Diceros bicornis minor: one gene and its partners. The protein of the gene in region 3 interacts with the protein of the main gene of each other region in a pairwise test. Links are inferred from orthologs where the notes say so. Each region holds a gene or a part of one and is shown on either strand. Other genes may lie near its edges.

Region 1 (7,944 bases), on a different chromosome or scaffold from region 3:
TGTTTTGATACAAGATTCAATCAGTTTGAGTATTTACTTTGTCAGACAAGCACAGTATACTATAATTATTTCACTAGTTATATGGTTAAGTCTTACTTTACACAGTGCAAAGCTTTTTAATGAAGTTATTAGAATTACAATGAAAAAGGTTTAATTGAACTTTTTTCTTTGCTCCTTCCTTTCTAGGATAAAGCATTTTCCTATGGATGAGGATATTACAATGTACTAAAATACAGTTCTCTCCTACCTACTTGTAGTTATTTTAAATGTCAAAAATTCAGCTAATATGCTTTGGAAAAGGGAGAATGTCAAGCATCTCAAAAACTTGATATAAACAAAAAGAGAAACTTTGTTTTATTAAGTCACCAAAGTGGATCCATAAAATTACTGTAATCAAACATCTCTATGAAAGTGTCATGAATTTTTTATTGTGGCAAAATATACATAACACAATATTTATCATTTTAACAATTTTTACGTTTACAGTTCAGTGGCGTTAAGTATGTTCTCATTGTTGTGTAACCATCACCACCATCCTTTTGTCATCTCAAACTGAAATTCTGTCCCCATGAAATGATAACTCCCCATATGTATCTTTTTAAAATAGAGAAACTTGGATAAACCATTTTTTTAAAAAAGCTCCAGTCACCCCAAATCGTTTTTTGAGAAGCCAGCATTCTTACCTTCTTAGAAGCCTCAGGATGTAGGATTTGCCTGACATGAAGCTGCCCATCAGTACAGAGACAGAAGGAGGTTCCTACCCCAATATTCAGCTCATTGCTCACTGATTGGTTAAACTGAAAAGAATAAGACACACATAGGGACACAACTGATGCAGGATTTACAAACTCGGCAAAGTGGCCCCACTTAGTGATAACCCAGAGAAAACCGCGCTAACTGCCGTGAAGGGTGCCCTGGTGCTGGGGGCAACGTTAGAGAGACAGACTCCGTTGCCACAAACTGTCTTGCTTCCTTTAGATAGGCAAGCTTTCCAGTCAACCTGCAATTTACGCACGGAATTTAGTAAATGCTTTCTTCCTTCCGTCCCCCTTCTATTTTTGCTATAAATCCATTCAAGACTTTTAAGCCAGGTCTCATTTCATCAGCAGGTTGCCTTCAGATTACATCATTCTCTGGTGCTTTCTTTTCTTTTCTTTTTTTTTTTTAATGTTTGGATGTTCCAGGCTTAAGAAAGATGCCAGTTTCTGATAAACTAACGTGGGTATACAGACTTCTGGAAAGTCTGGTAACACGTTTCCTAGAACACAACCCAGAAATGATAACTTTCCCCTATAATTCGCAACTAGTGTGCGAGGGCAGGGGCCGTGAAAGCGCCAGACACTCACCTGTGCACAGGTGTTTAGCGCCCCGCCCTATCCTCGATCCAGTACCCATCAGCACCCCGGTGCAGACGCTTTTTAGGTCACCTCAATTTCAGTAAAGGGATTCCACCAGTTTCACGGTGACCCAAGGAGCAGCCCTACATGCTCAGGCCTGCAAACCCTCCCCGGCGCCAGGACCAAGGCCACTGAGGAAGTAATAAAGGCACCGGAACCGAGCCTCTAGAAGCCTGAAACCAAGCAGGCACCTTCAGATTCCGACCAAACTGGAGCCGCCTCTAGCGCTCAACGCAGGGCCCGCCCGCTCTTCCACACCACAGCGCCCCCTGCCCCAGGGCTGAGTCACAGACCCAAACCCCGGCAGAGGACAGACGCGTCTGGGGTCTGGGCCGGGAGATGGGGACGCTAGGATTCAAACCCCGCTCATCACTCAATTGGTAAAACCCGGCTGATTCTCTGGCCCCAGGAATGACTCAGGAAGCAACCTGAAAACTAGCGAATTTTGGCCCAAGACCCTAGGGGCCTGGGAGGCGAAGAGGAGCAGCGACCTCCTCCCAAAAAGTCCACCCGGGCCTCCAGGCCGGGTTTCCACCCACGCCGCCGGGCGTCTGGCCACCTGCCCTGAGGACGCGCGTGGATCGCCCGACGAGGGCGTGGGGCCTGGTAGGGCTAGGCCAAGAGCTTCGGGGGCGCCTGGGCGGCTCGGATCGGGGTGGGTGGCGCGGCCCAAGGCTGTCACCTGTCGGAGGGCTTGGTCCAGCTGCGGCGCCGAGGATAGGCTTTCGGCGTCGATCTTCGTTTCTTCTTTACAATCCTCCGTCAGCTCCAATTGATCTGGTCTAACTAGTACTTCGTGCAACTGTCCCACCTCCGGAGGGAAAGAAGCAAGGCTCAGTTTCTCCCTTCCTCAATTTGGGAGCCTCTATCTTCACCCTCCTCCCTCGCTGCTCTCCTGGGACGGCCCGCGCCTCTCGAGGGGTCTGGCCGCAAAATCAAAGCTCACTTGTCACCGGCAGCTCCGCTGGCCGGGAGGTCGGCGCGGCCCTGCCCCCGGCCCCAACCCCGCGCAGCTCAGGTCGGAAAGGCCCGGGAAGTGGGCACCCGGTCCCCGCGGATCCCACCCCGCTCCGCCGGGCGTCCTTCGACGGGCAGAAAACCCGGCTCCGCGGCGCCAGGCCTCCCCACCTGAGCCAGATTTCGAGGGACTGAAATGGCTCCAAGGCGGTTGGCCAACAAATTTGGTTTTACTCTGGATTCTCTAGGCCTCGGGTCCAGCCTCACAAGTGGGCAAACAAGAGCACTTGTTTACCGATTCCCCAAACTTCTACAACAAACTTCTTGCCCCACTCCCATCATTTGGAGAGAAACGTGGCGAAATACCTTCTTGTTGGCCAGATCCACCACTTTCCATAACAGCAGGATCAGCTCCTTCTCATCTGAGCCCAGCTTGGCCCCGGTGGCCCCAGCAGTGATCCCGAAAAGCACCACCAAGTAATCCGGAGACGCCGTCATGACGATAGGTGGGGAGGGGGAGAAGGGGGGGTCGGGAGGCGATGAGGTAGGGTGGAAGTGAGAACGAGAAAACCTGTGCTAAAACCTCTTTTGAGAGAAAAAGAAAGAGCGCCCACCCCCCCTCCTCGCCGCCTGTGCAAAAGGCGGTAACCAACCACCCAAGCCCACACCTGGCCCGTGCTCCACACCCAGGGCAGGAAGGGGGGTGGGAAGGAGGGCGCAGGAGGCCTGCCCTTTTTGTATTCAATTGCCGGTGAGTCTATGCAAAAAGCCAGGAGCAAGGCTGCACCCCCAGGAGGCGCGCGCAATGGCTGAAAGCTTTTCTGTTTTGGGATGTGGCTCTACCTGCCCGCCCCTTCCCCCTCCCCCACGTGGTGCAGGTAAGAGACACCTGGCGGCGCCGGCCCATTGGCTCCTTCAAACCACGACGTGGCAGCGGTGGGGGAGGAGGCCGCCTGGGGAAAGGGGAGGAGGGGGCGGGAGACAATGGCAGGATGAATGGAGAGGGGAGAGCGAGAAAGGAGGAGGGGGAGACGCGAGGGGCGGGGAAGCGGCAGTTGCCACCCAGAGGGTAGCGGAGGCCAGACGGGAAAAGGGTGAGGGGAAAAGGGGCGGGGCGAGTCGCTTGAAGGGGGTACTCCTATGGAGGTAACCGAGAGGCGTGGGGGGCTTGGAGAAATGCCGGCTATGGGGAACGAAGCCGGAGGTTTTAAAGGGTCAAGCGAAAAGGCCTGGCGTGGGGAGGCGAAAGGAGGCCAGAGGTGAGGCCCGGGGTGCGGAGCTGCCCAGGGCGCGGCGCCCCGAAAGGGCGAGCCGCGGAGGGAGGGACGGGCCAACGGCAGCCGGGAGGTGACGGGGGCAATTGCCGAGCACCGGAAAAGCCGCTCCTGAGCCCAACACACCTTTAAGTGCAAACAGCAGGCGAAACCCTGCAGGCCCTCCCCCCCTCCGGGCGGGAGCCGGGCGCACGGTCCTCCAAACCCGGAGGCGCTGCCCACCTTCGGGAGTGAAACCCCGGCGCGCCGCAGAGCCAGACGCGGGGGCTGGACGCCGGGCCACCGAGTTACGTCCAAAGACGCAGTTACCGCGCGCAAAGCGGCAGGGGGACCCCACTCTCTCTCCTCTCGACCACTCCCTTAATTGCTACGTCCTGTTTGGTCCTGAGTGCTAGTTCGAGGTTAGCACCTCCTCCAGGGCAGGAGCCCGCTTCCTTTGATTTGCCCTGAGCCCTAAATAAAACGCATGTACTCCGCGTAGCTGTTTGTCTAAATCAAGCCAAAGCAAAGCTTTTCCCTCAGTTCCCCGCTCTGGTCCCACGCCCTCATACTTTTGCCTTTGTACTTGTGTGTCTATTTTTGGCCAAGTTGCCAAGCAGTGTCCCTACTCTAGCTCAGCTCGGACTGCACCGAGGCTGGGGCGCCCACCATCACCCCCCAGCCCCCAGCCGGACGGCAATGTGGTGGGCCCGTTCACAGAAAGAAAAGAGCCAGAGGTGAAGTTTCCTCGAGTTTTATATTTCCAAGTGCTCTATTCTTGGGAACAGAATTCCGTCTGAAGTATTACTAATTCGGCTCCAGGTGTCCAGCCCTTTCTATTTGTGATGTGAAATTAGGCAACCACACACCTATGTCTACAGTAACCCACTCCGGGTACAAATCCGAGAACCTTTCAGGACGCATGTCGGGACGCTGGAGATCGCGCTCTCCCGACGGGGAGGAAGCGCGGACTTAGTGGGGAGGAGCTGAGGCTGCGGCAGGGTGAGGGGAAGGGGTTTGAGGAGCGCGAGCCGCCGAGTTTCCTTGCAGGAGAGGGTGCGGGCGGAGGCGCCGCCGCCCGCGGCGCAGGTAGCAGCTCGCGTCCCCCGAGAGCGGGCGGAGGCCGGGCTCTGCCGGGGCCAGGCAGCGCTGCAAGGGCCCTCGAAGGTGCTCGGCCACCCTCGTCCGCAGGTCGAGTTTCAGCGGCGCGTGCTCTTCGCCCCGGGACTTCAGGGTGCGGGGTCGCTAAAGGGCCCCCGCAGTCCTGGTTGGCTGGCAGCGGCAGCCTCGGCCCGCCCCAGTGCCCCTGTGTCGGAGCCACCCTCTCGGGCCCGCAGGCGCCGCGGGGGCAGGGCCTGGGCGCGGAACGGGGCAGGGAGGGACCTGGAAAAACCACCCAGATTGCATTGCAGTGGGCGAGGCCGCCCGGAGGAGCCGGTTCTCCGGAGCCACCTCCCTGCGGGGCTTTTTCGGTGCGCGGTTCCCAGGTGCTCCGCCCCGCCTGGGCCGGGGGGCACTGCCTCGTGGGGGCGCGGGACCCGGTGCGTGGCCCCGCGGGGGGGCCCGGAGGCCCGACGCCGGGCTGGCGACTGTGCTGAGAACGGTTAGAACAGCTCAGGAAGTCCGGCCCCGCCCGTCCTTTCTGGCCTCCGGGGTGCGGATTAATCATTTGTATAGCGCGTTTGGATCAACTGAGAACTTGATCAGCGCGTTCGCCAGGGATTCCGCAGCGTCATCCATATTAGAATCGAATCTCAGGTTCCCCCTGTTCACAGACTTGTCTTTTCTTGTTTAGGGAAGTCGGATCCCTGGTTTCTGATCTTTTTAATTTAAATTTAAATTTGTCTAACTAGGTTACACAGACAGAATTTTTTTTTTCTCTAATGTATTCCCAGAGCTTGGAACAGAGCCGGACATATACTAGGCATTCAACAAATATTTGTAGAATGATTTTAATGAGTAACACCCAACCATTTTTACAGTTCTTTGTCTCCTGAGCTGGGCATAGTTCATCACCGCAAAGGTGAGATTCTGAAAATGGGAGTCTACAGGTAATTTAAGTCTCGATGTTTAAAAAGAGTAGGTGCTAATTCTTTGACAGAGAAACCTACTTTTGCTAAAGAAATTAAACTCTTGTAAAGTGCAGGAATGCCGAGAAAAAAAATTATGTAATACAAGCAGATCAATTCTGTATACAAAAATGTTTTATTGTCCATCCCACCATCTATAAATTATTCTAATATAGTAAGAATAATCAGTATGAGGTGGGTGGGAAGACTCTTGAGAAGAGAGGCTTATTCTACCTGTGGTCTTCAGTCAAGACCATGTCTAAAACACCTGAGACAAGTAAGAATCTTTTTTTTAAAGCAGCAGAGACCCAAGTTGAGGACCAGGCTGCAACATAACTGGCCTATATTCTTAAACTATTCAGGTCATGAAAGACCAAGACTGAGGAACTCTTCCAGAATAAAGGAATTTATGAGACATGACAACTAACTGCAACATGGATGCTGGACCAAAAAAATTTTTTGTCGCTTTAAAGTACATTATTGGGACAATAGGAGAAATTTGAATAAGGTCTGCAAATTAAATAATAGTATTGTATCAGTTCTAATTTCTCAATTTTTGTAATATTACTGTGGTTCAGCAGGAAAATGTCCTTTGTTTTAAGAAGTATGCAGTATTTAGGGATAAACTGGAATCATGTTTATAACTTACTCTCATACAATTCCAACAAAATATATACCTATATATAGACAGAGAAAATAATAAAGCAAATGTGGGAAAATGTCAATACTGGGGAATCCGAGTGAAGGAATTCTTTTTTGTGTGTGTGAGGAAGATTGGCCCTGAGCTAACATCTGCCAATCCTCCTCTTTTTGCTGAGGAAGACTGGCCCTGGGCTAACATCCGTGCTCATCTTCCTCCACTTTATATGGGACACTGCCACAGCATGGCTTGCCAAGCAATGCGTTGGTGCGCGCGGGGATCCGAACCTGCGAACCCCGAGCCGCTGCAGCGGAGCTCGCGCACTTAATCGCTTGCCCCACCCAGCCAGCCCCGTGTTGGAATTCTTTATACTATTATTTGCAACTCTTAAAAAATTTTTTTAAAAGCATCAGAGGACTTTTTGCTGCCACCACCATTTAGTGTTTAACAAGGCTGTGTCTCATGACTTTCTATGCTAATCTAATCTTCCATTCTGTAGAATGAATCCATTTTCTTTGTCTTTTCCTTAGTGAAAGAAGGAGAAAGAAGAGATCAGCATTTTCTGTATAACAATCCTTTCATATCCTTTAAGATTGTTCTTAAATAACTTTTCTAGACTAAACTACCGCAAGCTCTTTAAAGCTTTCATCAGGAATCTTACTTTCCTGCTCTTAATTATCGTCATCACCCTCCTTCGACCCTTTTCCTCTCATCACTTTTAGAGAGCAGCTCTTGAACTGGACAGAAGACAGGTGTGTCCTCTGTGGCCTGACCATTGACACAATGGTACCTATATGTCTTATTCTTATAATTTGTCATGCAGTTCCCTTCTTAAGACTACAGTAGCAGCACTGCACTTACTGGCTCCACTATTGTTTGAGATCTCTAGATCCTTCTTGGAGTTCTCACTTGCACATACCCAGTTGTTCTCTTGTACCTGTAAGAAAAGAGGCTTCAAAAGTGAATCAAAGTATGAAAATGTTATCAGATTAGATAGTGGTGATCGTCACACAAACGTGAATATACTAAAAACCACTAAATTGTACACCTTAAAGGGGTGAATATTATGGTATGTGAATTATATTTCAGTTTTTTAAAAAACAAATCAAAGTAAAAGCTTGTGTTCTGAGGCTACCACAAACCATTTATATTTCTTACTTATTTGTATTAGATCCAGTTGTAAAAGAGACCACATTTTATACTCCCGGGACAAGTCCAACCTCTCTGAAGTGGAGAGGTAGGGGGAAGTGATGGTCAAGATAACTAAATACATTATAATTTTCTATGAATTACTCTGTGCATTACACACTTAACCAAATTACTGGTCTGGACATTTATTATAGCGATTATTATAGATCGTCTGTATGGAAAAAGTATGGGTTTAATAATCAGCCCTGCCATTTGCTACCTCATGGCCTTGGGCATGTTCCTTAGCCTCACAAGACTCAGTTTCTCACCTGTAAAAATGCAGATGATAATGCACACTTCATAGGTTTTAAGGGGAGAGGAAATGTATAAAGAAATGTCTTCCTTAAAGAAAACAAACCTGAGAACCAGGAGGGGTACTACTCAAGAGGAATCTCCAAGTGGGGAGGGGTCTCTCCAGACAACAACCACAAAGGCTAGTA
Region 2 (7,646 bases), on a different chromosome or scaffold from region 3:
GGGAATCATTTCGTTTTTGTTTGCTTCCTATCTTCTAAAACCATTTTTGAGAAGATAGGAAGCAGACATAAGCAAAATGGGAAAGGTAGCACCACTGCTAAGTGAACTTGGGGCAGTCCCCCACCCTCACATTGCATTTTGGGGTGTGTGGCGTTTGTTGCAAGCTCTCTGCAAGGCTGTGAGCTTGCTAGCTCTCCACTGCCAGGAAGGCAGGTCATTTGTGGCTGGGGAAGAAACTCCTATCATCCCAGTTAGGTCACTGTGCATTCTGGCCCTCGACGGTTGTTTCAGGATAAAACACCTTGGTCCTCAATGTTGTGTCTAATCTCAATGTCCAGGACTTGGAAAGAAAAAACGAGCAGCTCCAGTTCAGTTTTAAGTCTAAAAGGAAAACGAGAAGACAGAGAGAAGGCAGACTCATAGACTAAAAGGGACTAGAAGAGCAGCCACATGGGTGGGTCTGAACCAAGCCTCTGCCACTTCTGTAAATTACTTAACCTTCTTGTGCCTTGTTTTCTGGAAAATGAGGATGTAATATGTAAAAATGTTTGGAGAAACTTTAAAAGAAATAATGTACGTAAAATACTGAGCACATTGCCTGGCACATTGTAACAAACTGAAATGGTAAGTATTATTAAGGCCAAAATTGAATTTCTTCTTATTGTGCTAAGCCCAGATTGATTGTCACCGTAACTTTTATTTTTTATTTATTTTTTTTGTGCGAGGAAGATCGGCCCTGAGCTAACAACTGCCAATCCTCCTCTTTTTGCTGAGGAAGACTGGCCCTGGGCTAACATCCACACCCATCCTCCTCCACTTTATATGGGACACCGCCACAGCATGGCTTGATAAGCCATGCGTGGGTGCGAGCCTGCAATCGGGGAACGGCGAACCCCAGACTGCCACAGTGGAGCGTGCGCACTTCACAGCTTGCGCCACCGGGCGGGCCCCTGTAACTTTTAAATCAAGATCAACTAATAAGTGTTTTTTCCTCAAAAATGTACGTAAAGCTTTCTTTTAAGAATTTCAGATAGAGACTCAAAGCATCATATTGCCATAGATATTTTTTTTCCTTTTAAAAGCGGAAATGTAGGGGCCGGCACAGTAGCGTAGCGGTTAAGTGCGAGCGCTCTGTTGATGGCAGCCTGGGTTCAGATCCCTGGCGCGCACCAACACTGCACTGCTTGTCAGGCCATGGTGTGGCGGCGTCCCGTACAAAGTGGAGGAAGATGGGCACAGATTTTAGCCCAGGGCCAGTCTTCTTCAGCAAAAAGAGGAGGATTGGCATGGATGTTAGCTCAGGGCTGATCTTCCTCACACACACACAAAAGCAGAAAAGTAAATTAATTACAAAATAAGTTCAAAAGCTAAAGCCTAAAAAAAAAATCAGGAACTCTGCACCTAAATTTAATTTAAAAGTAACTGTCTTCGCTGTGAATGTGTTTGGAAAACATAGACTTTCTCATTTGATAATTAATTTGGTTATCCAGAAAAAAAATAAATGCTTGCAATCGCAAAATTTGCAATTTCTTGTAAGGATGAACTTTTTTTCCCAGAATGTAAATATTATCTCAGTTTGAAGATAGGGAGAAGAGGGACAAAGAACAACAGATGTATCCAGTGGCCACTATGAATCAGGCACATATGAATCCAGTCAAAGCACCACCAAGATGCTGCCAAAAGTAAGATATCCCAGATGTCCTAGTGCAGGAGGTGGTAGGGTCTGGATTACGGAGATTTGGAAGGCTGCAGTGGGGAATGCTTTGTTCAAAGGTTAAGGAAGTATCAGCCACAAAGCTCTGGCAGCTTGGGAGAAAGGGTCTTGCCCCACTGCTGCTGGGATTCATTTTTTCCCCGCTCAGGGTCTGATGCATAGCAGGCCCTCCACCTCTGGCCTCATGCTCTACTTCTGTCTCTCTGCCACGCCCTCCATTTTTGGGAGAGGCCATGAGAGCAGCTGGGCAGTGAAGAGCAGCCTCAGCCTGGGAGAGGGTCCCCCCCTAGAGAACTGGGGGGCAGTGGCTGTTGTCAGTGTAGTGCAAAGTGTGGCTGGGCCCTCTTGTCAGGATCACATGGGCAACTTGCTAAAATGCGGATTCCTTTAGCCCGACAGAACAAAATCCTGGGCATGCATGAAGTGCATGGGCTCACCAGCTCTGAGACTCTAATGCTTTTTTTTTTTTCTTTTATTTTGAAGGAGGGTTAAAATAAAGTACAAAATAACAGCACTGGGGCTAAACCCTTGATTTTTTTAGTGCAATATACCTAATACATGATCTACCCCTCCGGCTTTGTTTTAAGAAGTGGCAAAACTCATATTGACCTTTGAAAGAAACATTTGTAACAGGCCCTCTCCTTTTCTTTCAAATAGTTTTGCTGTTTGTACTTGTCTTGCCTTCCAGTGGGAAGGGACTGGCAAGCTACAGATAACGCGGCTCCTGACAATGATGGCTACACAGCAGTTACAGTCAAACCGGTTGGGGTCAAGGCCTGACCCCACCACTTATTAGCTGTGAAACTTGGGTAAATCTCTTTATCTCTTGATGCCCTTTTCCACATCCCTATGGCACAGCATACCTGCTGCTTGAATTGCATATTAAATGAGGTTTTATGTATAAAGAGCTAAGCAATGTATCGCCCAGACGCGCTCAACAAGTTCCTGGAACGCCCACAAACCTTATCTAAACGTCCTACCGATCTCCTTTCTTACCATGGTGGTCTGTACATCCTTTCTCAAGCATTCTCTAATTCTCTTATACTCTTCGTTGATAATGGGTTCTCCTCCTTCCTCGACTATTGAAGGAAAGTCCACTTTTCAACGTCCAATCCAAATGACACTTCTCTTCTGGTCTTGTCTCCCAGTTCCTCCAATCCTAGTAAGCCCAGCACTCCTCTGTGTCAGACAGAACACACTTCTCTCCTAACACAGGTATAGTTGAACCATAATTATGTACTTGCCGGTCATGCCCACTAGACTGTGTAAAACGTAGTCATTCTTAAATCCTCGTCACTTACCTTGGAGCCCGGCACATAACAGGCGGTCAAACCATATATATATATATATATATATATATATATACACACACATACATACACACACACATGTATGCGATTTTCCTGAATGTGCAGACTAGATGGATTCATGGGAGGATGGCTAGACGGGGGGAGGACATGAGGGTGCTTTTGGGGAGGCGATGGGGCTATGAGAATTGCGTGGTTGTCCTAGCGTCCCTTCCCCGACCCCCCACCGTGCTAGGCGTGACGCTGAAGGATAATGGCTTCTAAGGTCCAGCCGGTTTCTCCGCTTTGGGACGCGGCTCCGCAGGGCACCGGCAGGGGGCGGCGTTGTCGCGCAGCTGGATGCTCCGCGGGTGACCGTCCCCCGCAGAGCGCTGGTGACTAGGCCGGGGCTCCCCAGCGCAGAGGGGGCGGCTGGGGTCGCGCGGGGCCATGAGAGGGAGTCCCCGGCGCACTCCCCCTCGCCCCCACCTCCGCCGCCCGCAGCCCCGACGGGAAGGAAAGTTCCTGAGGTGCTCGGGCAGAGGCAGCGAGCGGCCGGAAAGGACGCCCGAAGAAAGGGGGGCGCTTTCTAGCAAAGACGGGGGAGCGAGCGCCAGTGCGCTCCTTGCGCTCTGCCCAAGCGAGTGAAGCTGGCGGAGAAACTTCCATCCTTAAAACTCGTACTTTCATGTTTGGTGGAAAAATTTAAATAATTTCACGCTGACATGTGAACACTTGAGAAAGGCAAACCTTAGCGCAGAGTGACGGACCCGCTCGCCGCCTTGGGGCTCCGTGAGCGAACGCGCCGGGGCGTCCAAGCCGCCGGCGGCTCTAGGGCGACATCGCGGCCGCGCTCTCCGGCCCGCTCCGCCCTCGGCATCGGCCAGCCGCCCGCGGGCGTCCCGACTGGCCGCGGCGTCCGCTCGGGGACGCGCGCCGGCCCGCGCCGCGCTCCCGGCCGCCCGGAGCCGCTCGTGCGCAGGAGCCGGACGCCCGCCCGCGCCCCGCCCCCGCGGCTCCTCCGGCTCCCCGCGCTCCCCGAGGCTTCGAGAATCGAAACCCGGTTATCACGAGCCCTCCCCCTCAGGCGCGGAGACTGGTTTGCGTGAGGGAGTGAACTCAGATCACCCCGAGACCGGGCTTATGAATGAAGTAAGAGGCCCCCCGGACACACCGGGTAAAAGGGGGTCGTGAAGAACCGCCGAAGCCCCATCCTGAAGCTGTTAGGACGCGCTGGCTCCGGCGAGAATGTTATGTTTGGGAAGTTTCTGCAGTCGAGTGGTTTTAGTCGTGATCCGGTTCTCAGGGCCACTTATGCCTCTTCAGGCGTTCTAAGTTGGGGAAATAGAAAAGAGGCGGGGGCGGCGGGGGCCTGTACGCACTCGCGGCCCCCCCGCCGCGCTCTCCCGGGACCGCTCCCCCCGCAGCGCAGTCGGCCGGCCGGCGGCGGGGCGGGCGGGGGCGGCGCCCTATGCAGATGAGGAGGGTGTGGCGAGCGCGCGGCGGCGGGGCCCCGGAAGCGCAGAGAGGCCCGGTATAAAAAAAGTACTGAAGACCTTTCCCCGCACAACTGCTAAGGCTCCGGAGACGGGAGCGTGTGCGGCGGCGGCCGCGGCAGCAGGAGCCGCCACCTCCGGGACCACGGCAGCTGAGGCGGCAGCGGCGCGGTCGGGGGCGAGGGGCGGGAGCGGCCATCGCAGGCGGCGGGGGTCTGGGCAGGACTAAGTCGCTCGCCGCTGCCGGGAGCGCACTCGCAGCTCCTGGAAGTGTTGCCGCCTCGCGGGTCCTCGCTCGCTGCGCTCCTAGAAGGGGCGGCCGCCTCCAGGTGACACAGACGGGACTCTCGCTTGCGCTTTCCAGATGCATCAGAGATACTTTTGGTGCGGGGCTGCTCTGCGGGGCGCGGCGCGCGCGGCTGGGGACCGCGGGAGCCCGGGGAGGGAGAGTCTCGGAGGAAGCCCCAGGCAGGGGGCGAACCCGGGAGGGAGCGCGCTGTTTCCTCTGTGGGCCCCTGTCCGCCGCCGCGCGTCCTCACCGCGCTCCCTCCCCCTTTTTTCCTTTAGGACTGACCAGGGCCAAGTGGTGTTCGGCGGGCACTTCATGGCAGAGGGCGAAGGGTACTTTGCCATGGCCGAGGACGAGCTGGCCGGCAGCCCCTACATCCCCCTGGGCGGCGACTTCAGCGGCGGCGACTGCGGCGGCGGCTTCGGCGGGCCCTGCTTGGACTATTGCGAAAGCCCCACGGCGCACTGCAACGTGCTGAACTGGGAGCAAGTGCAGCGGCTGGACGGCATCCTGAGCGAGACCATCCCCATCCACGGGCGCGGCAACTTCCCCACGCTCGAGCTGCAGCCCAGCCTCATCGTGAAGGTGGTGCGGCGGCGCCTGGCGGAGAAGCGCATCGGCGTCCGCGACGTGCGCCTCAACGGCTCGGCCGCCAGCCACGTCCTGCACCAGGACAGCGGCCTGGGCTACAAGGACCTGGACCTCATCTTCTGCGCCGACCTGCGCGGGGAAGAGGAGTTTCAGACTGTGAAGGACGTGGTGCTGGACTGCCTGTTGGACTTCTTACCCGAGGGGGTGAACAAGGAGAAGATCACGCCGCTCACGCTCAAGGTAAAGCGCCCGAGGCGGGGAGACGGGCTTGGGTCGGCACCCGGGCCGGGCCGGGGTGCGGGGTGCGGAGGGCGGAGGGGCTGCCGTTTGACGCCACAGGTCGGCGGCCAGGACGGGTTTGGGCGCGCTAATTTGTTTTGCTTGGGTCTTTTTAAGGAGTAGACTACGGTGCGTCGACGGTGTTGAGTGTTTTAGTTTACTTGGTGCTTCAGCGCCACAGCTCTTCTCCAGCTTCCTCTTCTGCCGTCCCTTCGCTTCCTTCTCCTTATTTTTTAACCCTTGGCTTTTCTTGCTTTTGTCTTGCCCAGAGTAGATTCCGATACGTCGAAGAATGAAATGATGTAAATCATTTTTTTTGTTGAGTCTTTTTATGTTCTAGTGTTTGGGAAAGTAGCAGCCTTAAGCTGAACCTAGTCAATGGGTTAGTTATTGTATTGGAAAATGTGAGTAGATTTCCTAGCTGCATTCAGCTGACTCCGTGTGTTTAGGATAAGCACCAACCCGGTGCTTCTCCGGGTTGGTTCGTGTGTTAAGGATACAGTGGAGTCCTCCTCTTCCCTACTTTCGTTCAGTGCGCGTTTTATATAATTAGTTAAAATGGTCTGAGGAGTCAGCCTCCCAGAATGTCCTAATTTAGTTCATATTGGATTGTAACTGCAGAGTACCCCTGGTGGGACATACAAGATACTGACCACTCGGTTGCCTTAGGGGGAGGGTAGTTGGGTGACTAGCGACAAGTGTGAGAGGCAGACCAACTTTTCAGTGTATGCCCTTCTGTCTTTTGAATATTGTGTGGATATTGTGTGAATATTGTACCTATAAGACCGTTTTCAAAAAATAACATTTCAAAAGTCAGACATGACAGCCTGTTAGTACTGTGCTATGTCTGCCAAAAGCCTCGAACTATTATTTCTAGTCTCTTTCCCAGACGGTAAAACTACTCGTTAAATGTATTTTTTTTTTCTGTTTTCAGAAGACTGTTTAAGCCTGTAGGTAGTGTTTTGCTGAAACTTGACAAAATAAAAGAGAAGGAGCAAAATAATTCTCAGCTGTGAAGAGGATGTATTTATTTATTATTTTTTTCTAGGTTTGCTCATCTTCTTGTTTTATCTTTTAAATTGTAGGAAGCTTATGTGCAGAAAATGGTTAAAGTATGCAATGACTCTGACCGATGGAGTCTTATATCCCTGTCAAACAACAGTGGCAAAAATGTGGAACTGAAATTTGTGGATTCCCTCCGGAGGCAGTTTGAATTTAGTGTAGATTCTTTTCAAATCAAATTAGACTCTCTTCTCCTCTTTTACGAATGTTCAGAGAATCCAATGACTGAAACATTTCACCCCACAATAATTGGTGAAAGTGTCTACGGCGATTTCCACGAAGCTTTTGATCACCTTTGTAACAAGATCATTGCCACCAGGAACCCAGAAGAAATCAGAGGGGGAGGCCTGCTTAAGTACTGCAACCTCTTAGTGAGGGGCTTTAGGCCCGCCTCTGATGAGATCAAGACCCTTCAGAGGTATATGTGTTCCAGGTTTTTCATCGACTTCTCAGACATTGGAGAGCAGCAGAGAAAACTGGAGTCCTATTTGCAGAACCACTTCGTGGGATTGGAAGACCGCAAGTATGACTATCTCATGACCCTTCACGGAGTAGTGAATGAGAGTACCGTGTGCCTGATGGGACATGAAAGAAGACAGACTTTAAACCTTATCACAATGCTGGCTATCCGGGTTCTAGCTGACCAAAATGTCATCCCTAATGTGGCTAATGTCACTTGCTATTACCAGCCGGCCCCCTATGTAGCAGATGCCAACTTTAGCAATTACTACATTGCGCAGGTCCAGCCAGTATTCACGTGCCAGCAACAGACATACTCCACTTGGCTACCCTGCAATTAAGAATCATTTAAAAATGTCCTGTGGGGAAGCCATTTCAGACAAGATAGGGGGAAAAAAAAAAAGAAAAGAAAAAAAGGCTGAGTGACCCAGCCCTGATTAGGGATATTTTTTTGTGCAATGATGATCTGC
Region 3 (7,824 bases):
TGCTTTGGTAAGCTCTGAAAGGTTTCTAACAAGTACCAAATACTTGTTGATCTGTTCACAATAAACACCAGCAGGATTGTTGGGCTCCTTTCACTGTCCAGGGAGATGCATTTACATACTGCACCCAGTAAGAACAGCCTGTGGGTCTCCTTTATAAAAGTTGAGTAGCTAGAAGCCTCATTCAGTGTCTCCAGTCCAGATGACTGAAAGAAGACCAATTGAAATAGTGAAGTCTCTCGTCTGGCTTGGGCAGCACAAATACTGTGCATAAAACACTTGGAGTAGTCCAGGCACAAGACAAACCCACCTGAATGGACGAGGAACACTGTCTGTTGCCATGGCAGCCTGATCTAATTACATGAGTGATCAGGGCTGGAGTAAGTGCAACGAAAACCTACACCACTGACAGTATCTTCATGATGAGAAAGGCAGGCAGGAGAGCCCTTCAACCTCTGCTTTACAGAGAAGGTGGCATTCAAGACCATTTGTGTGTGGAGCTGCTAAAATATTGACTGATGCATGCACAGTTAGAGGGCAATCAGAGGAGATTAAACGCCACAGCATTAGCCGCTATGGTGCAATCCCTTTCTACGAGTTCATGTGCAGGATTTTCCCATCCTTCTCTCTGGTTCTTCCTCCGGCATAACGGCATAAGCTTCATTCCAAAAAAAGCTCAAGTATCCAACTACCTTCACCCACCAAATACACCAGAGGGTGGGCTTAACAGGAGCTTCTAGGAACTGCAGGGCTCCTCAGAAACCCAAACAGAAATGGCTTAGCTAACATTGTTGAAAAAGTAACTAGCTATGACTAAAAATAACCACCAAATAACTACCCACTGTGTGTGCTCTATGTAAAGATGATGCTTAAATATTAAGAATACCCTGCATTATAAAACACAAATGTCATTGAGATGTGACTACTAGATTCCCAAAGGAGAACTTATTTGCATACACACATTGCCGTGCATGCACGACAGGATGTGCAGGGAGCATGCCACTCTAAGGCATTAGTTTTTATTCTGTGGGTGTAATAGGGTCTTCTAATTTTGCTAATTGTATCCTGTGGATCTCACACGGAAGCTAAGAATCTCTTCGGGGACAGAACCAGTTTGGAGGAGTCCCTACTGCACAGCATACGGTAAACAAAATAAAAATAGCTTGCCGTTCTCGTTAGCCACATCGCGCATTATATAACCAGCTTCCGACTGGCTTTTTTTCCCCCCTTACTACTCTTCAGCAATTTCCCAACCTTCCCAACTATTTATATTACCCTCTTATCTGTCGGATTATATACTAAGAAAGCAAAACAAAACAGAGCAGCCACGGGATTGAACCGAACCCCACAGTTCTTAGAAACTGATTTTTTTTGTTGTTTTCTGGCAGGATCTCCAACATCACCCTACTTCCACCCCCCACTAAGGTTCTTGCTCAATCTCCCTAGAAAACCTGAATTGTTTCATCGCTGCCAGTCAGCCCACTACGTGGTCTGACATAAAATGAAAGCACAAGCTACAGAGTTTAGGAAGGCGGCCTGAGGGCGGGAGGCTGAGGAGGGGTCGGGGCGCTGCAGAGTCAGCCAAGTGGCCACAGAGGGGGCTCCCTCCCCATGGCGACTGCCCTCGCTGCCCCCCTCCCCCGCGCACACACAAACACATACGCACACGCACTCGCACTCACGCCGGGCTCTGCCACCGCCTCACCTCTCGCTCCGCCCGTCCGGCCCCCTTCCCTGCCCCCTGCGGGACCGGCCTGCGCGCAGCTCTGGAACCACGTAGGAAGAGGCAGCGGCGGCGGCGGCCGCGGGAGTGGCAGAGTCTCCAGCACGGCCCAGAGTGAACGAGCAGCGGGGCTCCAGGGCGCATCCCAATCCCCGCAGCGCCTCCTCCGCCGCCGCCGCCTCCTCTTTCCCCTCCTCCTGGCTTCATTCACCCTCTCAGCAGCGGCGCAGCCGTTCACTCCCGGCGCAGGCAGGGCAGCGCCGGCCGCGGCTCTTCTGCTCCTGCTGCGGGCGCTGGCGGGGGCGCCGGTCCGGGCCGGGGCGCTCGCGGGCTCCCGGCGGCGACGGCCGCTGCACATGATCAGGAAGCGGCCGTACCAACAGGGCGGCGGTGGCGGCAGCCAGGGCCGCCACCGCCACTCCAGCCGCGCTCCCGGCACCCGCACGCCGGCTCCCCTCGCTCCCACCCCTCCGCGCCCCCAGCGCTCCCACCGCCCGGCCGTGCGCAAAGTCCCGGCCTCCGCGGGGAGACCCCCACCCTGGGGCTCGCAGGCCAGGCGGCCACCCGCGGGGAAGCCTAGCCCTCCTCCAGACCCACTGGCTCTCGCCGCCCTCTTTGGAGAGAGGGAGGAGGGGGCCGCGGGAGGAGGGGGCAGCGCGACCCCCGGCAGCCGCCGTCTCCCCTTACGCCACCTCAAGGGAGGAGGACATGGCTCGCCGCACTCTCCGCCGGACCGGCAGCCGCGGAGCGGGGCACCGCCGCCGCTTTCCCCGCCCGCGCCCCCAAACCGGGCGCACCCCCTCGCCCGGCGGGCGCCCACCCGGCCCCGGCAGACCCCCTGCCGGACGTCCCTGCGCCCAGAGCGGGGGTGTCGGCCCGGGAGGCTGGAGCAGGGGAAGGCTGTATGTACACACGCACACATACACACACATAACACAACACGACGCGTCGATTTCCTTCGCTCCTCTTCCAGCTGTTTTTCGTGCCGCCGATTGGGGTTTGGGGTTTGGGGTTTGTTTGCCGGTTGTTGCTTTTACCCCTCTCGGGAGAGCGGGGATGGGGGGGATTTTAATCTAAATAAGGGGAGAAGGGGATGGGGGGAGGGAGGAGGGAAAGAATCAGAGGAGAAAAAAAAATAGCCACTTACTGTAAAGTGTAAATGGATCTGGGGTTGCGTGGGGAAGGGGGGGCAGAGGGAGAGAAACAGTGTCTTGCGGCTGCTGTAGCTCTGGCTGCTGCTCCACGGGGCTTGTTTTGGATCCCCCTGCAGTGAAACAGGTCCTGTACGGCTCCGCCACTGTAGTAGAAATGATGTCTGCGGTATACTCTGCTCTCTCCTCCTCCTCCTCCTCCCCCCGCTCCCCTCCCCTCCCTCCTCCCTCCCCCCTCCGCCCGCCCTCCCTCGCTCCCTCCCTCCCTGGCGCTCTCTCGCGCTCGCTCGCTCGCTCCAGTATGTAAATGTGTAATAGAAGCCAAATATGGAGCAGTTGGCTGCCGCCGCCGCAGCTCAAGGATCCGACTTGGGGGCGGGGGGGCACCCTCTGGCGGGCGGCGGAGAGAGCCGCTGTGAGCACCGCGAGCGCGCGGCGCAGCGGCGGCCCGCGCCCTTAACCCTTCGGTGCGCGCTGCCCGGGCTCGGCGGCCCCGGGGGAGGCGGGCGCGTTTCCCAAAGACTGGATTGCGATCGGGGTGAGGAGGGCGGGAGGGGAGACACGGGCTGAAGGGGAGAGTTCTTCCAGGTTTGGGAAAGGGGCGGGGAGCTGAAGCGATGAGGTAATTTTAGCGGTGACCGGTCGGTCCTCGCGCGCCTCCCCGGGTCCCTGCACCTAGTTGGAGAAAACAGAGCGACATCAGGGTGCAACTCGGGCACCCTGGAGGACTCTCCGAGGGGTGTCGGGCTTCAACTCCGAGCCCATGAAATACCCCAGGGGAAGGGGAGGTGGCCAGTTCTGATCCCGACGTGCCCTTCGTCCCCGGCGCGCCGAGAAGCATCTAAGAGGGCTGACTTCGATCGTCATGCAAGTTAACCCTGAAACCGGTTTAGCTTGGGCTTTCCGGAACCCAGACCACCGGGCCGCGGGGATTGCCTTTGCGTGCAACTCAAGAAAGTTTTAAGGGTCCCCCCGATTGCACGTGCACCCTTACCTTTACTGCCTGCGAAAACCGGTGACCTCCCTGCTCTCCTTTTTCTCTCTGCAGGTCCGGAAATCTGCTTGGGGTATTGAACTACCCAGCTCTAGCCTTGGTAGACGACCCGCGCACTCCTCTTGCAGCTAATTCGGGATCATTAATTTAATCGGAAATGAGGTAACCAGTGTAGGAGATAAAGAAAGCAAACCGAGCATCGAATGGCACTTCTTGTGAATCCGCGCTGAAGAACTTCCTCTGGACTCAATTTTTAAGTGCGGTTCTCAACTCCCCACCATCCCGCCCCCTCGGCATCTACCACTGCCAGGTGTTAGCTCGATGGGAAAGAATTTTCTTTGGAGGGGTGCACCTTGCCAACAGGTGTGGCACCTGGAGGAAGAGAAAGCACATCCACGCTATAGCGAGGTCGGTGGGGCGTTCTCCTTAATGCAGATAATTCTGGAAGACCAGTAGGTGTCGGGACAGCGTTTGACTTTCTTCAGGTGCTTAGAACCAAGTGTCTGGAAACATGATCCTTCCACGTAAGTTTCTCTCGGGAAGCCACCACTACTGACTGTAAGCTGTATTTAAGAAAACTTTTGGCTGAGTTTACTTATGATCTAACGGTTAGTCACCAACTGAAGCAGGATACAGAATCACCAAGAGAAATATGTCAGCTTTTAAACAACTGTATTGTAGAGTCAACGTGCTACAGAAATAAAAATAAGCATACTAACTAGGAAGGTGTAGGGCCCCGGAAATCATTTTTTTCTCACATTTTGAAATACCATGCACATATACATGGCTACTTAAATAGAATTACTCTTGTTCACTCTTACTCATGTCTACAACTTTTTTTTTATCATTTAACAATCAATGATTGCTACAGTTTAAACCTCGAGGTTGGACTAAGGTGATATTGTTGGTCTCCTTACAGCCTCTAGTGGACAGTTTAAAATCAGTTTTCTGAAAAGGCTCTGCCTGGTGGTGTTTTCGTTGACAAGCATTATCAAGGTGAAGGTTAACATCTCAGAACATAACCGGGTAATATCTCTTCCCCCCACTTGGCAGAGCCGGCTTCTGAAAGGAGCAGAAGCTTGTTGGCTCTGCACGTAAAAGCCGTATGCGTTGTGCGGCAGGTATTATATTACTGGCCTGCGAATAAACAGAGAGCTGCTGCTATTCATTTCAGTTTCAGACAGATTTCATAAAAACTAAATTCATCTAAAATATTTTTATAACAGAAAATATTGGTTGCCATGTTTTTGGCTTAACTGAGATGTTTTTATTCCAACTCCTGATCTGCAGACTGTCCAATCCACCTCCACTTTATTTTTAGACATCTTACGTGTAGAGAATTTGGGGTGAAAAAGAGCTAATCTTTTAATTATTACATTGACATAAGCAGTTAGTTTAAGTTATTTTAACAGCCTTAAATGAAAACACATAATTCAGATTAGAGTTAGTCAATTAATTTAAATGTTCCCTCAAGGAAGCGAAATATGTATATTACCGAAACAGTAAGAACAATTAATAAAAAATGTGTCATTTACTTGCTTAGCCATTAAGATTAAAGCCATAAACTGCCATTAAAATCTGTAACTGTTTCTTCCTGCAAGGTCCAACATAAACATAATACTCATGATGGAGTTTCTTTACCTTCAGTACTGAAATGTTTTCTTTTCAGATGGCAAAATATTAAACGTGCAATCACAAACAACTGGCACTGATTCTTTAAAAGCAAGACTTTCTCATGTGAATAAAAACTCAATGAAAGAAGAGATGGCTTTTCAAGAAGCCAGTAGACAAAAATGTGGTACTATAGTCCTATTCATAAACTTGATACTATATTCGTACGAGCATAGGCCAAACTTTGAAATTAGAGCAAATTGAGAAATAAGGCCTGCTGAGCCTTACTCCTAATATGTGTTCTGGATTGCTTAAACACCATGGAAAATCATTTTCAACCCTTATGTCTATTTCATTGTTTTGGTAGTATCTACTTTTGAAGGTTTAAAATGGGCTATCAAGTATATATTCTATCATATAATTATGTATTACATCTTGCTTCTGAATGCGTAATCTTCAGAGCAACAGCAGCAGCATCTGGGAACTTTTTAGACATTCAGAATGAGAGTTCCACCCCATTCTACTGAATCAGGATCTGTCTTGTGATTCCTAAGCACATTATAGTAGGAAGAACCTTGTCTATACTGCAGGGCCCTGTCTAGATGAATCTGGCCACAGCTGCAGAACTTAATTCTTCTATTTATTCCTTTTTTACTCCCTCACCCTGTTATTAATTTGCACTTGTTAATGGAAAATTATTATATTTTATGCTTTGTTCAAATAGTACTGCATTTCCAAAGAGCCCTGATTTATGCACAAATCTGCATCATCATTGCTGAGAGAACACTCTGGGAGCAATGTACTGGGGTCTTGAATGTGAAGGTTTTCTTCACAGCAGCAGAGGGAGCACAAGAGTGCTTAATAAAACCAGTGCATGGGCCCTCCAAATGGTAAGGGATTTTAAATTGTACTATAAGTTTTCATTGGAAGTAACCTCTTACATCATTCAAAACAAAGCAAAACAAAAACAAGCAAACTCAAACAGCTTACCAAGTTATAACAACTAGATAATTGGACAGATTGGAAATTAAATACAATATAGCTATACTTATTTAGAGTTTAGGCTTGAATTCTTAGAAAGTAAACCTCAAAAGTCATACTTGGAAAAGATGCCTTAGTTTTTCTCCCGTCAGAAATAAAGATAACAGGATCCAGAATAAAAGGCAACTCGAAGAGTAACTCCTGTTTATCTAAAAACATTGGGGTCAGTTAACCCAACACTACGTCAGATCAATTCATTTCATTTGGAGTCAAATATGTTGGTGAAAAAATGTGAACTTTTCACCATGTTTACTTTCACAGTAATTGTAGGGGTTTATCCTTATGTTTGCAGTGGTGAGGGTTTACGTTTCAGTTATATCTATGTGGCATTTCATACTTGCACAGTCTTCCGCACTGCATCTTCACACACTTCTGTGAGGTGGCTGAGACATAGGAAAGCCGAGCCTCAAAAAAGTTTTGGAACCAGGTTGTGCCTTGAGAGCACTGGGTCATTTAATTGTTACAATAATCCATTCAGGTGTTCAGAGAGGAGGGGAATGGTAGAAGTTCAAATCCAGCAGCGTGTTCTTTGCAGTTTTAACAGTTTTTCAGTTACTAGATAGTGAATGTTTAATAGTGAATATTTAAATAAGAGACTGTCTTAATTCTCAAGCTGCTTCTCATGTATTTATTGTTTATTTACCAGCAGCCATTTATTTTGCATCTACAATAACTAGGATCTGAGAATATAAAGATGAGTAAGACATCTCTGTCTGCAAGGAATTCACAGCAAAACAAATCTTAATCTTTTGAAAAAATGTTCATTTTGACCATGATGAAACTTAAAGATTCATAGTTGATTGATCCAGCACCTCTCAGAGTCATTACATCAATCAGACTTCCAAATATGAGAATCAAATACTAGAATCATTGAAAATCTGGGAGGTGGGAGGGCAATTGCATAACATCTGGAAGGTGGGAGGGCAAAAATAATTTGAAATATTAATATTTCAAATTTGTAAAACAAGCAAAATGCAGAGATGTATTTTATCTGAATGCCTTCCCTAACAAAAAAATCTTATGAGTAAATTCAAATGGTAAACATTTATTTATTTATATCTTTAAAAAAATTATTAACAAGAATTTCCTCCTACGCTAAAGAAAGATTTGCCAAGTTTCTGCCTGGAGCAATTTGTTATGGCTGTGTCATAAATCCTGGAAAGTTTGAATTTTTAATGGAAACACTGACAGACCTTTGACCATGCTATTATAAGGAGGGTGTTATCCTACATATGTCATTTAAAAATCTGAGCAAATCATAGTGTGCTTGCAAAACAAATATACTTTCCTTAGATTGCACTCCCAAA
Region 4 (7,220 bases), on a different chromosome or scaffold from region 3:
CTTTAAGACGCAATTATCTAAGTATGGCAGAATTCTGGGGCTGGACTGCCAAAAATGGGCAATATTGAGCTTCTTAATCTTTACTGTAGACATAGATAAGTACTACCCTAAGACAGACCAATAATATTTTCCTAAAAATGACTTACGCATAAAGATAGATATGCATAAAGGTGAAACATACATACCATTCTCTAATCAGCATGTGAAAGTGATTGAAAAGTCTCTCTGCCTGGACTCCACAAAGTAGAGTACCAGTCAGAACTTTTATTCAAAAAGTACTGGAAGATTTGAAATCACATAAGCTTATAGAAGCAGTTCAAATCAGTTTCCCTTCATTTAATAAGCTTTTCTCCATTCAGAATTCACCTGTCAACACTTTAAATAATGAATTTAAGTTGTGAAACACTACTCCAGCACTCTCAGGTGAGAGAAACTACACTTGGGAAGAACAAATCTGAATGAAGAAGTACAATACTTTCTATCAACTCACATTCTATTATGCCAAAACAGATTGTGTTAAGAAAGCAATTAACCAAGAACCCTTTTACACCTGAAAATACTTTTCCTGTAGAGAGCTTTTTTTTTTTTTTTAAAGATTTTATTTATTTATTTTTCCCCCAAAGCCCCAGCAGATAGTTGTATGTCATAGCTGCACATCCCTCTAGTTGCCGTATGTGGGACGCGGCCTCAGCATGGCCGGAGAAGCGGTGCGTCGGTGCACGCCCGGGATCCGAACCCGGGCCGCCAGCAGCGGAGCGCGTGCACTTAACCGCTAAGCCACGGGGCCGGCCCGAGAGCTTTTTTTAAATGCTAAAAATGGATATTACTTTGATATCCATTTGGATAATACTTTGGCATTGGATGAATAATACTTTGATAGCATTTGATACTTTACCACGTAGGTAAGAGCAGTGGCACAAGTACATAAACAAGGCCTGACTTGAAAATATTAACCATTCAGTACCCCGGGAAGCCAGGGACAATAACCACATTAGAGTCCCTGACTGAGTCCATATTCAGGAAATACAGATATGGCCTAACTAGAACATAACCCTTCCCATCAACATTCCTATTTTATCTACTCCAGCCCAGTACATTTCAGGGAACCAGAAATGAATTCACAGCTCACCAAGTCCTGTCAACCTCTTCAGAAACATTCAGTAGCCAACAACATACCGAAGCAATAGCTTCAATAAATATATGACCTTGAGGTGATTTGCACCCCCGCTGGAAAGAGCAGGTATCTAGATGAGCAGTTTAAAATCACCACAAGTTTTCAGCTAGGGAAAATATGATTGAAGTTTTACTTTTGTGAGTCCACATCCAATTTGCAACGGGAAATAAAAAACAATTAAAAAATCTGGTTACCCTAGCTAAGCACACCAAAGAGCATTCCTTTGGGGAGTTTACCTTTCAAGGAAACATCAATACAGGAGACATTGATTCTGTAAGGCATCTCAAAGCTGGAATCCTTACCGCACAGCACGTGAGTCAATAAGACACCAGTTACATAGCTGTTACAGAATCTGTGTGCTAACATATATTGATCCCCAAATTCATATGGAATCTGAGCCAATATTCTCTTCACCTGAAGGCTACTTAGAAGCAAATTCTAGTTTAAACTCTGGGTATTCACTTTCAGAAAAAGGTTCAAAGCAATGCTTTACTAAATCCTAGTTAATATTTAGTCCATACAGTGAGCCAAAAGTAAGACTACCACTTGAGATGAAACTAATGAAATACCTACACAATGTTGTTACTAACCTCCCCATCTGTAAAGAAACACTATTTCATTAGTAACAAAGCCTACTTTTGTATATCGATGGGGGGATTTGGAGGCCGGTTGTTTCTTCAGGTCAAGGAAAGCATCTCCATTTTCTGTTTCAACCACACTTCTTCTATCCATGGCTCCTTGGTCTACAATTCTTTGCACCTGGAAGATAAATCGGCACAAAACTGTCACGGAAAACAATAAATTTTCAGAAGTCTTGACTGCTTAAGAAAGTGAAACCCTTACCTCTTAAAATGACTACCTTTAAAAAACAAACCCTCGCTCAACAATAATGCTATAAACCAGAACCCACTTGGAAATAGAACCACTGGTACTTAGTTATCTCTTACAGTAAAATGCTCTAAGCATCAACAGGGTAAGGAAGGCAGAAGTGGAAGGTGCCCAAATCAGGGTACAGCCTTTAAACAGCTTTAATACGAAAAGAAACCAAGATTAGTCGCTGCCACGCATAGGGGCCGTTCAGGCAGTAGTGGGGAAGTTTCCCGGGGTGGGGGCAGGTAGAAGACCCGCTGGGGATCCGGGAAGTCGAGCTGTGGTAAAGTGCCTGTCACTTGCCAATGGACGGCGCCAGCTGCCCCTTGTTATCCGGGGGCCAGGGACTGGGGACCGAGCCCGAGCGCCCCTCGCCCAGGCAGCCGCACCTGTGGCCATGTCAGGAGCGCCCGTAGCAAAGAAGGGGCGAGTGCTGGCTTCAGTTCCGAAACTCAGCTTCCCCGGGCCGCGACCCCAACCCCCGGCCTCTCGCACAGGCCCCGGCCCAGCGGCCTTCTTCGGAGGAAGGGCGGGGACGGTACTCACGGAGAGGAGGCAGGTCGGAGGGAGCGCGGAGGCCGAATCCCCCGGCCCGGGCGCTCCCAGCTGGAGCCGGCGCAGGCCCGCCGCCGTCCGCCCCAGCCCGGCGGCTAGGGCCCCGCCAGCCCGCCCGCTGCCTGCCGGCCTCGCGCCCCTGCCCAGCCCCGCGCGCGCCCAGGCGCTCGCGCTCACGCACGCGACCCCGGGAGCAGCGCGCCCCTGTCCCTCCTCTCCCTGCGGGCCCTGGAGCGCGGTGTCCCGGCCCCCGCCGCCAGGCCCTTACTCGGTGCCTCTGCCGCCGCTCCCCTCCCCGCCACCCGCGCCGGTCCGAGGGCTGCTCCGCGCGGCCTCCGTTCTCGCCCCCCCGACCCGCTCGAGCTGTCTCTCATCAGCCGCCGTAACCGCAGCCCAGCCCTCTGCCCCTCCTTCCCGGCCCCCTCCCCCTTAATGACTCCCCTCCACGCACCCCGGCCCCAGCGCCGCCTGCGCCGCCGCGCGCCCGGATGTGAGGTGGCCGCCGCGGTGCCGGACGGAAAAGAGAAACATCGCGGCGCGCTCCCCGGGCGCCAGCCCCTGCGTGCGCCCAGCGGCGGGGAGGCGGAGGCGGGGAAGAGGTGGCGGCGGCGGGGAGGAGGCCAGGGCGGGGCCAGCGGAAGCCCTCCCCGGTGCGCGCAGGCGGTCGCCGTGGGCAGCCCCGGGGAGCACGCCGCGCTCCCACGCGCGCTTCGGGGCGGGGCGCAACGGGGCGGGCGGTGCTTGCACCCCGCAACCCCCGCTCGGCAGCGCTTCTGGTAAGGTGGCGGTAGCCGCCAAGTGGGCCGGGGTCCGCGGCCTCCTGCGACCGGGGAGCGCGTCGACCGCTGCGTTTCCACGGTTCGCGTCGGCGGAGAACCTTGGGGCCCTGGCAGTGGGAATCTGAGTTAGGCGAACCTAGCGGCTTTTGAGCCTTCCGGGTGTGGGCTCGAACCTAGTAGTGGTGTGTAATCTTGGCCAGAGCTCTGACTTCTCTGAGGTTCGGTCTTCTTTTTTCTCAAATGGCCTCTCTATAAATTTACGAGGAATAGACGAGATTACGCGTTGCTGCATTAATAAGCAAATTTGCCGCGATTGTTTTTGATTGAGCTGAGGGCGACTGACAAATTCATTGAAAAGTTCTTTCCCGCCCATAATCTGAATCTTGAGCCTGCACGAGAAGGGGCAGTTCTAGTGTGTTTGGGTGAAAATGAGCTGGCGAATGGCAAGCGCTTAGTACATAGTGCCGAGACTGGCTGACGGGGGCACAGAAATGCAAATATAATTTCCCTACTCTAAGCGATGAAAGTAACTGCTGCTCCGGGGAGGAGCGGTCAGGAAGGGTTTGGCGGGGATCACAGGTGAGCCCGGTCTCCAGGAATATCACGTACCCCAGTTTCTGCCCCGTAGGACCGCCCAGGGTTGGTGTGAAATGACACATGGGCGTGGAGGGAAACGTAATTTTCCTCGCTAAAGAATAGCGAAGACTACATTTCTTTGAAGGGGCCTACTTTCTTTGAGCTTCACTTTCCTCACTTGTGAAATGAGGGGATTGGGCAGTAAGTGATCACTAACTTCCCTTCCTATGAGTGTTGGCACTAGAGAAAACAATAATGAAAACGTTTTTCTCTTTGTGATATTGAATACGATGTGTCTCTTACAAACTATCTTTTCTCTGCAGGCAAGAGACAGAGGGAAGTGTTTGCAAGTGGGGCTGAGTTTGCATTGCCGCTCTACCACACCCTACAGGATGTGGAGAATTAGGCCATTTATCCTTAGCCTTGGTTTTCTCATCTGTAAAATTTAGAAGATAACCCACTCAGGGCTGTTGACAAGGTTAAAATAGGATAAGGTAGGCAAAAAGTTTTATACAACCTCCATAAAGCTGTTTTTTTGTTTTTTTTAAGCCTATACAGAGACACATTGTAGGTGGTCAAACAATGGTCATTTTTATTATTTTTAAAACCAAGCTGCTATTAGAATCCAGGTTCTTCCTGATACTAGGGAAATGGTTTAATCTTCTTGTCATTATGGAATAGTGGAGAAGGCCCATTCTTTGAAGCTCTTAAATCCTGGCTCTGCTGCTTACTATGAAACCTGAGCCAGTCATTTCACCTTTCTGGACCTGTTTACTCATCTGCCAAAAGGGATAGCAGTACCTCCTTTTCAGACTTGTGGGAGGAGTTACAGATAACATTAAAAACAGTGTTTTGGCTATCTATTGCTGTGTAACAAACCACTCCCAAACTCAGTGGCTTAACTCAACATTTATTTTGCCTCTGAATGTGCAATTTGGGCCTGTTCTAGTTGAGACACTGGTCTCTGCTCCATTTAGCATCAGCTGGGGCGCTGGAAGGCTGCGGGCTAGGATCATCTAATCACTCACTTTACTCACCTGTTTGGTGGTTAATGGTGGCTGTCAACTGGGACCACTGGAGCTGTTGGCTGGAACACACATGGCCTCTCTGTGGCCTGAGCTTCCTTACAACCTGGTGGCTAGAGAGAATGAGAGGGCCAGACAGTTGCTGAATTGTTTTTTTTCTAACTATGCTTCCAAGTCACTCAGTGTCTATTCTGCCACATTCTGTTCCTTAGATAGGAGTTACTAAGGCTGGCCTATATTCAAGGGGAGGGGACTTAGATTCCACCTTTATATGAGAGGAGTGTCAAAGAATTTGTGGGCATATTTTTAAATTACCACAAGCCACACACGAAATCTGCTCAAGGTACTGTAGCTAGCATGATAGAGGCCTCACCTGGAGCTAATGTCCTCTATCCTTGTTAGGAGAACGATCCTAGTTAGGACATACTTTTCCACCAGGCTCTTCTCTTGTAGAACCTTGGTCTCAACTCACTTCTTACCTCTCAGAGTCTCAATTTATCCTTGTGAAAGAATAAAACAATTATTACCTAGGAATAAAGGTAATAATTTACTAAGGGAGGGCGTCTAAAAATTTCTTTCACCTCTGCCAAGCAAAAGCTAGATGCTTGCAAATCCTTGTTTCATTGTAGCTTTTGAATGTTACTCTCCTTGGCAGGAATGATAATTTGTAATTCTAAATGCCCCTTTTTGCAACTAGTAATGAAATTTCAAATATCAGAATGGGAAACCCCTTTGACAGAGTGAGAGAGAAATGACTTATTCTAGTTCTTTACTAAATATAAGATCTTGGTTTACGTTCAAAATGTTTGTTCCAAGTTTGGCATAAGGAGACTCAAAGGTTTAGTCATTTGGGGGAAATTAGTAGTTCAAGAACAGTAGAGAAGCAAATGAAAGTATTAGAAACCTAGAAATTTTGAGAGCAGCCTCATCTCAGAAATTGAATTGCCCTGTGCCTCTCTAAATGAGCTTTTTCCTACTCAGTTTTTCTTGCTCCAAGGGTAATCCCTAGTTCCAAGAAAATAGGATTTGAACAGTTTCACATTGTGTCATCATGTACTCAGGTTAAGGACTATAAAGGAGTTATTAAGGGATTTCCGGAAGACCACACAGCAAATTATTTGCAGAGCGTAGACCCCTTCTGACACTTGTACATCTTTGATTTTATATATGGGAAGTACTTAAAATAGAGCCTGACACCACATAAGTGCTGCTGCACTAGCTGTTGTTATTCTATACTGTTATCTTCCAATGTTTCTTGACAGGACTAATTATTTTCATTATAACTCAAATGGAAATGCCTTTTATCTTTTTCTAAATTAGTCAAAGCTGACGGTGGTAAATGCACGTGACAGGAAGAAAGCATCAGCAAATTATCTAGAAAGCATGCTTATTGATTTATCATTGTGGATCTGTCATAATTTATATAAATGTACATAATTTATATAAAAGTACTTAAAGACTAATTTTACAATAAGCAAGTATGACAGTGTTAATTAGGGCTTTGAAACTCACTAAATTTTTTTTTTTTTTTTTTGTGAGGAGATCAGCCCTGTGCTAACATCTGCCAATCCTCCTCTTTTTTTGCTGAGGAAGACTGGCCCTGGGCTAACATCCGTGCCCATCTTCCTCCACTTTATATGGGACGCCGCCACCGCATAGCTTGCCAAGCAGTGCGTCGGTGCATGCCCGGGTCTGAACTGGCAAACCTCAGGCCGCTGCAGCAGAACGCGAGCACTTAACCACTTGTGCCACCAGGCCAGCCCCACTAAATTGTTTTAAAACTACTTGGCCACATAACTTCAGAAAAGAGTTGTCCGTAAAAGACTGGCTCCCGTGTCCCACTAAAGTGGAACTTCTTTTACACATTTTTTAAATTATAAAATTAACATATGTAGAAAATGAGCAGAAATGCAAATTACCTATGATTCTAATTCTGAGACACCCAAGTTATTTTTCCTCATGTTTTTAAAAATCTTTCAAGCATTTACATACATAATACTAGCCTTTGTTCTCTCCACCAGAAATCTCACATGCTTTCAAATGTTTTACAAAGCACCGGAGAAAAGCATATAAAAATGCCCCACCGATCCTCCCCCATCCTTATTTTTAAAATGATCAGTAAAAAGAGGAGGATTGGCATGGATGTTAGCTTAGGGCTGATCTTCCTCACAAAAATAAAACATAAATTAAAAAAAATTAAAATGATCAGAATGGACCTAAATTTAAAATTTTAACAACTAT

The links.
Region 1: the proteins of ATXN1 (region 3) and ESRP1 interact in binary tests that used the Homo sapiens proteins (3 or more experiments, as listed by UniProt). The link is inferred for Diceros bicornis minor from reciprocal best matches to the Homo sapiens genes ATXN1 and ESRP1.
Region 2: the proteins of ATXN1 (region 3) and TENT5A interact in binary tests that used the Homo sapiens proteins (3 or more experiments, as listed by UniProt). The link is inferred for Diceros bicornis minor from reciprocal best matches to the Homo sapiens genes ATXN1 and TENT5A.
Region 4: the proteins of ATXN1 (region 3) and EIF4ENIF1 interact in binary tests that used the Homo sapiens proteins (3 or more experiments, as listed by UniProt). The link is inferred for Diceros bicornis minor from reciprocal best matches to the Homo sapiens genes ATXN1 and EIF4ENIF1.

The regions. Positions count from the first base shown.
Region 1 is NC_080760.1:13,858,007-13,865,950, reverse strand, and holds the start of ESRP1 (epithelial splicing regulatory protein 1), read right to left. Parts: upstream 3,090-7,944; 5' UTR 2,853-3,089; coding exon 2,721-2,852; intron 2,209-2,720; coding exon 2,080-2,208; intron 798-2,079; coding exon 684-797; intron 1-683. UniProt on the Homo sapiens protein: mRNA splicing factor that regulates the formation of epithelial cell-specific isoforms. Specifically regulates the expression of FGFR2-IIIb, an epithelial cell-specific isoform of FGFR2.
Region 2 is NC_080762.1:49,746,505-49,754,150, forward strand, and holds the start of TENT5A (terminal nucleotidyltransferase 5A), read left to right. Parts: upstream 1-4,561; 5' UTR 4,562-4,860; coding exon 4,861-4,880; intron 4,881-5,063; coding exon 5,064-5,616; intron 5,617-6,740; coding exon 6,741-7,517; 3' UTR 7,518-7,646.
Region 3 is NC_080753.1:50,433,697-50,441,520, reverse strand, and holds the start of ATXN1 (ataxin-1), read right to left. Parts: upstream 3,090-7,824; 5' UTR 2,868-3,089; intron 2,029-2,867; exon of another isoform or gene 1,703-2,028; intron 1-1,702. UniProt on the Homo sapiens protein: Chromatin-binding factor that repress Notch signaling in the absence of Notch intracellular domain by acting as a CBF1 corepressor. Binds to the HEY promoter and might assist, along with NCOR2, RBPJ-mediated repression. Binds RNA in vitro.
Region 4 is NC_080774.1:24,846,061-24,853,280, forward strand, and holds the start of EIF4ENIF1 (eukaryotic translation initiation factor 4E transporter), read right to left. Parts: upstream 3,068-7,220; 5' UTR 3,051-3,067; intron 2,954-3,050; exon of another isoform or gene 2,868-2,953; intron 2,684-2,867; exon of another isoform or gene 2,591-2,683; intron 2,415-2,590; exon of another isoform or gene 1,934-2,414; 5' UTR 1,907-1,933; coding exon 1,811-1,906; intron 1-1,810. UniProt on the Homo sapiens protein: EIF4E-binding protein that regulates translation and stability of mRNAs in processing bodies (P-bodies). Plays a key role in P-bodies to coordinate the storage of translationally inactive mRNAs in the cytoplasm and prevent their degradation.